2 linked regions of the Oryzias latipes genome follow. The protein of the gene in region 1 purifies or fractionates together with the protein of each later gene. This does not show direct contact. Links are inferred from orthologs where the notes say so. Each region holds a gene or a part of one and is shown on either strand. Other genes may lie near its edges. The genes, in order: ubiquinol-cytochrome-c reductase complex assembly factor 1 and ubiquinol-cytochrome-c reductase complex assembly factor 2.

Region 1 (3,818 bases):
ACTACCATTGCTTGCTCTTTCCCACCGACAATTGATACCCGGATTCCTGCGTGCCAATCCTTCACCTTACCAACTGAGCTACTCAGCTGCTAAAAGCCATTACATTTTTACATTTTACACTTTCCGGCCACCTTCTCCGCCAGTGAATCCAACTTAACACCAGGTAGGGATCGATGGACAGCTCTGCCCTTCTCTTTACCCGCATGTCCAAGACACAAGGCCAAAGGTCACCTGAAACAACTACAAAGTCAATCATTGACCTTCTGCCTAGGGTGTCCTGATGAAAGTCTGACTATGACGGCCACAGAAATCCAATAACAAAACACTGCTCGGGTTCAGATCAGGGAGGCCATTCTTACCAATCACATCCCTACGGGTTCCACTTTCCTTGCCAACGTGGGCATTCAAGTCCCCCAGGAGGACAGTAGAGTCCCCCGTTGGGGCATTTTCCAGTACGCCTTCGAGAGACACCAAGAAGGTCGTGTACTCCAAAATGATGTTCGGAGTACCCATTAGCCGAAACCACAGTCAGAAACCTGTCCCCCACCCAAAGGCGGAGGGACATGACCCTCACGTCCATCGGGGGGGAACTCCAACACTTGGCGGCTGAAATGGGGGCTCACCAGTAAGCCCACACCAGCCCGCCACCTCTCACCATGAGCAACTCCAGAGTGGTAGAGAGTCCAACCCCTCTCTAAGGACTGAGTTTCAGAGCCCAGGCTATGTGCGGAGGTGAGTCAGACTATATCTAGACGGCATCTCTCAACCTCTCGCACAAGCTCAGGCTCCATGCCTCCCAGAGAGGTGACATTCCATGTCCCAACAGCCAAGTTCCATGACCGGGATTTGGGCCGCCGAGGCACCCGCCTTCGACTGCCACCCAAACCTCATTGCACCGGTCCCTTTTAAAGTCTCCTACGGGTATGGACTGAGCCCGACCGGGGCCGGTTGGGAGAGCACCGGTCAATATCCCTGACTTCTTTTGAGGAAGCAGAGAATGAGGACTTTGGGGTGAGGCTGTCTATTACCCAAGTTGAAGTAACTGAGGTAGTCAATAAGCTCCCTAGTGGCAAGGCTCCGGGAGTGAACGAAGTCCGCCCTGAGTACCTCAAGTCTCTGGATGCTGTGGGAGTGTCTTGGCTGATACGTCTCTGCAGCATCGCGTGGCAGTCGGGAACTGTAACACTGGACTGGCAGACAGGGGTGTTGGTTCCCCTTTTTAAGAAGGGTATCCTGTGGAGGGTGATTTGGGAGTATAAGGTCCGGGGAGCCTTAATGAGGGCTCCGCAGTCTCTGTATGACCGGAGCAAGAGCTTGGTTTGCTTAGCCAGCAATAAGTCAGACCTATTCCCGGTGCATGTTGGACTACGGCAGGGCAGCCCTTTTTCACCTGTTCTGTTCATAGTTTTTGTGGACAGAATTTCTAGGCGCAGCCAGGGGGAGGAGGGGGTCTGGTTTGGGGACCACAGGATTTCCTCCCTGCTCTTTGCAGAAGATGTTGTCCTGTTGGCTTCATTGAGCCAGGACCTCTAGCATGCATTGGGGCGGTTTGCGGCAGAGTGTGAAGCGGCAGGGATGAGGGTCAGCACCGCTAAATCTGAGGTCATGGTTCTCGACCGGAGAAAGGGGGTTTGCCATCTCTGTGGATGGAGTCTCCCTGCCCAAGGTAGACCTCGGATAAGAACAGCTTTTCCTTCACATCGAAAGGAGCCAGTTGAGGTGGCTTGGGCATGTAGTCCGGATGCCTAATGGGCACCTTCCTTGGAAGGTGTTTCGGGCATGTCCAACTGGGCGGAGGCCCCTGGGGGAGAGACTACATCTCTAGGCTGGAGGAACTGGGAAGACTGGGCATCTTTGCTTAGACTGCTGCCCCTGCGACCTGGTCCCGGATAAGCATGGAGGGAGGGAGGGAGGGAGGGAGGGATGGATGGAATGGAATGTTTTTTTTCTTCATTGTAAAGTGCTTTGAGCTGCAAATATCAGATTAAATCCAGACTTTCTTTCCGTTCAGTAAGAAATGGGAACAAGTTTTAAAGTGAATACTACAGCTGATCCAAACTTTATTTATTGGGGGTGGAAAAAATGAAGAATGATGCAGTTCTATTGTGAAAAATGTATATTACTATGTTAGCAAACTAACAAAAAAGTAAAAACATTTAATTTTACATGTAATGAAAGCACCATCACAGAATGAACTTACATTAAGTTACTCAGGCCCTGTCTCATAATGTAACAAAACATGAATAAACCAAAATACACTTGTTTTTTTTTCATATTAGTGGTTTTGAAATTCTTAGAAATATTGAAGCTTTCTGACCTGCTGTTTGTGAATAAATCCAATTTTTGATAAATGTTGGAAATGTTTTTAAATTTTCTTTGTTAAAAGTCACAGCCTTGGTTGCTTGTAGCGTGACATGCAGAGGATTGAAATGGTGGTTCGCAAAACCATTCGGATCACGCGGGCTGGGCACAGACGGGCACGGCTGCACCTGAGCCAAAATAACCAGTTTAATTTCGCCCTGTCGGATTAAAAAAGACAGATTGCCACGTAACAAATATCAGCCGATCATCGCCCCTGAACGATAATCTGTCAACCCCTGGATGTTATGTCACAGCACAAACTACAGCCAGCAAGAAACAGTGGCTGAGTTAATCAAGACTGAAAAGCTGAACTTCATAAATGTTCTCATTTTTAAAAATGTAGAATGTGGGAATCTGAACGGTTTCTACCTGAGGATCAGTCGGCCAATGAGAGCAGCTCACCTGTTTGCGCACATATTCCACTAAAAGTTCCAGCTGTCGGGGGTCTTCACACTGTCGATTGAACAGGTTTCTCCACAGAGCTGCAGCCAGCACACAGTCATCAGACAGGATTCCCTGATCAGACAAACACCGTCAGAACAGACCAGAACCGGGCAGAACCAGGCACACCGCATGGCTTCAAGCTAGCATCAAACTTTAGCACAGAAGTATGGAGTGTGTTTGTTCATGCATGAAGCACCTCATCATATCCAAATATGGCTGCATAGAAGGTTTCCGTCATGGCTTTCATGGCCTCCTTCCTGTGAACAGCATCTATCTGCAAGACCAACAGAGACACAACCACAGCGTTAAACCTGCAACTCTGGCAGAAACACGGGAGTCAGGATCAGCTGCTTTGGCTTAGCAGCAGATTTTCAGAGGACGAGAGTTTACTGCCATTAGTGCACGTTAAAAACGTGTTTAAAAAAAAGTACATTGGAATATTTCTTTAGCTCCTCATGAGCCAGAACGATGAATTTACGGAAAAAACACAACTTGAAAAAATACAACAAAGAGAAAAAGAAAGAAAATAAAAGAAAAAATATGACTTAAAAATAAGGAAAGAACCAGGACAGCCTGGTTAGCCGCTCGGCTACGCATATCATTGTGCAGCTCGAGTTTGTTCCTCATAATAAATGTATGTATGTATGTTCTTAACTCAAAAGTGGAACTCATTCTAGCAAAAGTCAACAGCATCACGGTCTGGAAGAAAAATCCAGAAAAGTATTGTCCCGTGCTGTTGTCCTCAGGTGTGGGTGTGACCGCCGCTGTACGGTGTTGAGTTTAACTTCAGCTGTTCTGATTAACTGTTCTGATTGACTTTCAGAAGCAATACAACTGTTTTAATCCCAAATGAGTTTACGCTCAACACCTTCATGTTGACGGAGGAAGTGACTATGCTGTTCTGCACACATCCAACATGCAGAGTCTCAGTGTGGTTGGTTGGATAAATGGATGGAGGGACTTCCTGTATGTTTCTGCTGTAACAGTCTAAGCCTTAGCTGATCACTGCTATC
Region 2 (4,422 bases), about 5.4 Mb from region 1:
ACAGTGACATTGTGGTCACAACAATAAAACACTGATCTGAATTTGGGTCCAAATTCCCTCAGTCCTCCTTAACTCCCAAAGACCTTTGGTGCACAGCTATCCAGTAATACAGTTCAGACATGTGCTCACTAGTTTTTTATTCTTTGAGCCCTAAATGTGTCACCCTTTTGCCGAAGTGAAAACGCAATGCATTGTGGTCTATATTCGCCAATGTAGTAAGCATCGATGCGCACTGAGATTTTTGGGAATTTTCCATGGCGCAGAGTTTGGAATTGAAGATCTGGATACCCAGCCAGTGTGGCGTTCTAACCGGGTAGAGGTGACAGGAGTCTGCCTCTGCCTCCAGTGAATTTACAACCTGTAGAGTTAATGGAAGCACACCAGGTCACAAAGAGAAACTTTATTTCTACACAAGCACTAATGGGAAAAGGTCATTTAAGAGGTCAAAAGTTATTTTTCAGGAGCTTTTTCTGGAACGTCCTCCGTTTTGGAGGAGAACCTCTCCATTAATGTCTTCCACAAGCCCTTCTTTTCTTCATCCATGCTTTGCTGCATACTTCCTGCATTTGGAAAACAAAGCATTTTCCGTGTTATTCCCCCTTCATTGTGAGAAAAGAGCGGACAGTGAATGGTAAATTGGGAGTCCGTACCTGAAAGGAGGACTCGACACTCTTCAACCGTGACTCCGGTGAAGCTCGTGTCTCTCACCCGAGGAAACTGAACAAAGCGGAGATTACAGTTTTAGTTTTTATTCAAAGCCAGGACAAACAAAGAAGCTCTTTGGATGATTTGAAAAATGCCATTTGAATGTATGAGTTTTCTTCTCTGGTCAAACAGTGGTAACCAAGGTGCTCCAGCCATCCGAGGAGCTCTGGGTCTCATGTTTTCCATATCGGTCAATTGAAGTTTACTCAAACATTGACCTTGTGTGGCCTGCTTTAAAAGTGATGAGACCTTTGGTCTAAATATGGGTTTATGACCATCGACATGGAGGAAGGGAGCAGAAAGGAGGTCACAGCAGCAGCAGAGGCAGGTTTTCATGGAACAGCAACAAATTTTAACGTAAAATAAATGAGGAAGCTTGAGGATGTCACTCACTTTTTGTTTGTATACGTTGCCATTAATACGAGCCAAACTTTCATACATCTGGTCACATTTGTCTGGATCTGAAATCTAGAGAGAATGAAAATGCATGGTCATGAAAAACCAAACAGAGGAAAGACTTGTTTAGATTATCCAACGTCTGATGGTTGTGGGGTTTACAGAGAGCAGGAATTTGCACGGCCAGTGAAAACATGTTGCTATGTGAATACTTTGGGTCATAATATATAAATGTACTTTTGTTAGATAAAAGGATTAAAAGGAAACTAGACTTTCAATTACAAGGACTAACAAAGGAAGGAGCCTGGTCTATAAAATTCTTAAAGGCCAGAAAGAAACCAAGAATCCATCTCAACATGTTCTGGGTTGTCGATTTTGCTTTATATGATGAATTCAATTTGGATTTACACTCTAAAAAGAAAAAGGTTGATCCAACCTAATTAAATTAAGTTTGTTCAACTAAAATTTTTATGGCTATCCAACTCAATTTGAAAAGTTGATCCAACTTAAAAAAAAAATTCAATTTTGTTTATACAATTTAAATTGACACATTTTTCTAAAGTTTCAACCAATGTCATCATGACGCGTTGACAGCTTCACACCAAAGTTACACCAACTTAATTGAAGTAAGTTGATTGAAAGTAAAATAACTGTCAGACAACTACGTGTTATTTTTAAGTTGACTGAACTAAAAAAAAAATATTTATTTTCACCAAACTAAATAATTAAGTTACAACAATGTAAAAAAGTTCATCTTCACTCTTTTTGGAGTGTACTTTTTAAGTTATTTTTTTATTTTTTTTGTAAAACAATTTTTCAGAAAGGCTGATACTATTCACACGTATGTCATGCATGTATTTTAAGTGCGTCCAACTTAGGATTCTGTTGTTTGCTGCACATATTCATAAAAATAACATCCAAATAGACGATTTCTTTCTGGGCTATCTGGTGATAAAAAATTCAAGAGATTTTTTATTATGAATTCCTTTGTTGAAATCTGAGAAAATTCCTTTTGGATTTTTTCCTTAAAAATACAAAAGGGCGTTTTAAGAGAAATAAATCATCAATATTTCATGCATAAGACTTTTTAATAATGTGTGTAAACCACAGCAGGTCACATTTTAGCCTGATAATGGCACTCTTCCCACACTATATATAACTTTTCTTTACATGAAAAATAGTATAAGCCCAGTTACAAATATTTGTAAAACAGTTTTGTGATTTCTTTTTCAAAGTGAAAGACTTGTTCTTTAAACCTGATGTCATTGTCAATAAATAAAACAGTTTCACCATATTTTGAAATAGTTTCAGTTATAGTTAGCCTGCTGAACAGATTAAAAGTAAAATTACATTAACCATAAAATCAACAATAAAGAAGAGTTTTCAAACTTTAACTTTTCACATTTAAATCCGTTTAATAATAAGTGTTTGTTGAAAAGACAAACTCAGCCATTGAGAGGCGAAGAAAAGGACTTTCCGGTACATTTCTGCATAAATGATACTTCCAAATATATATAAATATGTGTCGGTTCATGTTTGTTTCAGTGGAAGAACATTTATGAAAGACATTTCACGTGCATCAACAGCCGGGTCACCAAGGTCGTCAGCTGATGGCCATATAATCTTAGCTCAGCTGCTAAGAAGCTAAGCTAAGAGCCTCTACCTGCGTGTTTTCACCCTCGCGAAACGCGGAGGCGACCCTCTGCCGCAGGAATGTGCCCAAATCGCGACCTTTCTTTGTCTCATCTCGAGGCCATTCCTCGCACAGTTTCAGAAACCGTCGGTACCGAGTCGCAGACATCCTTAATCACGTAACAGCGCAGTAAACGCCGCCCGCTTTGAAAGTTTGGGCTCCGTTGCTTTCCGTACTGGTGTTACATCTAAACTCTTCCTCCCCGTTTGACCCTTCCTCATCCCTGACGCCGCATGTTAGCAAGATGAGCGGAGCAGGTGCGAAAAAGAGCCCTTCCACTGGAGTGATGGGTTGGATCAGCTCCTCGTGTCGTTTTGTAACGGACAGAAACGATTTTAAAAGGTAAGAATGTTGCAGTTGTTCGATAAAAACTGTAGGATTGCTCATTAGCGCCGCGCTAGCTAGCTGGACTGGAGCACAACCTCGCAGTGCTCAGTGTTAGAGACACGCTACAAACGAGACATAAAAATACATGATGATCGACAAAAACTATTAACAGAGGACTATGTGAACATGTATACAGTTGGTTTGTTATGTATATGTGTGACAAACGTAGCTTTTGCACAAATAAACGTGGTTATTATTTACTATTTTTTTAGGTTTGAATCTTTTAATAAACAGTTTTAAAAAGCATTTCTTGATTTGTAGATTTAGTTGCACTTAGATTTAATTCAAGTTCCAACAAAGAAAGTTGTCCATAAATGTTCTCCAAATGGGATTTTGTGAGCAGCAAATCCTTCTGAGAGAGAAGAAGAGTGAGGTGAAAACAGTGAATCAAGCAAAAATGTACCTAATTTTCTTTGAGTCTGAGGTCAATAACCTCCATGCATTAACATTCACGTCAGTTTAATGTTTAGTCAGGACATTTTTAGTTTCCTTTCCTAAAATGACACTGAATTCTACCATTTTTTAAAGCTAATTTTAGACGCCAAGCATTTTGTTAAAATGACAGAATGCAAACAGTGCTTTCAATTTCTCTACTGCTGAAAAGTTAAACTAAAGATTAATTCAGCCATTGAATGTTGCACCAAAACTAACTACTAACGTACAAGCTAAACAGAAAATGAAAGTTTTTCTAAATAAATAAATGAAACAGAATGCTTACCTGTTCCTTCAGTTCCATTTAAACACAAAGCATTAATTCTACAGTAAAATTCTAATGTTTTCATGTTTTACTGAACAAACATGAAATTGACAAATAGGGCTGAACGATAAGGACTGATGGCTTAGATGCAACGTACAGAAGAATATCTTCAAATAAGTTTCAATGAAAGAAAAGCGACACTGAATTCTCCTCTGTCTTCAAATCAACAGTTGTCATGTGTTTGTCACGTCAATTCAGCTGGAAATTGTTGTATTCATATGAAATTATCAACAGCTTAAATGTATTCAATACTTTGGCTTATTGTAAATATCCACACAATGAATCTATAGCAGTGGGATATCGATTACAAAGTTCACTTCTTGTCTGAAACTTGTGCTAAGTGGATCACCGCTCCCTGCTTTGGTTGATGTGCATTAAATGTTTTTTTCCACATAAAGCCTCCTTTTTTGTGCATTGAATGAATGTTTACTTCTTGAAATGATATCTGTGTTTTACAGGAAGCAGGACTCTGAATCATCAACGG

Evidence for each region.
Region 2: the proteins of ubiquinol-cytochrome-c reductase complex assembly factor 1 (region 1) and ubiquinol-cytochrome-c reductase complex assembly factor 2 purify together in Homo sapiens (co-immunoprecipitation; 3 studies listed by BioGRID and IntAct, counting the BioPlex papers as one, with this or other methods). This does not show direct contact. The link is inferred for Oryzias latipes from reciprocal best matches to the Homo sapiens genes UQCC1 and UQCC2.

The regions. Positions count from the first base shown.
Region 1 is NC_019863.2:6,000,414-6,004,231, forward strand, and holds part of ubiquinol-cytochrome-c reductase complex assembly factor 1, read right to left. Parts: intron 3,080-3,818; coding exon 3,002-3,079; intron 2,878-3,001; coding exon 2,764-2,877; intron 1-2,763. UniProt on the Homo sapiens protein: Required for the assembly of the ubiquinol-cytochrome c reductase complex (mitochondrial respiratory chain complex III or cytochrome b-c1 complex). Involved in cytochrome b translation and/or stability.
Region 2 is NC_019863.2:645,496-649,917, reverse strand, and holds ubiquinol-cytochrome-c reductase complex assembly factor 2, read right to left. Parts: upstream 3,039-4,422; 5' UTR 2,903-3,038; coding exon 2,765-2,902; intron 1,174-2,764; coding exon 1,099-1,173; intron 718-1,098; coding exon 651-717; intron 561-650; coding exon 451-560; 3' UTR 386-450; downstream 1-385.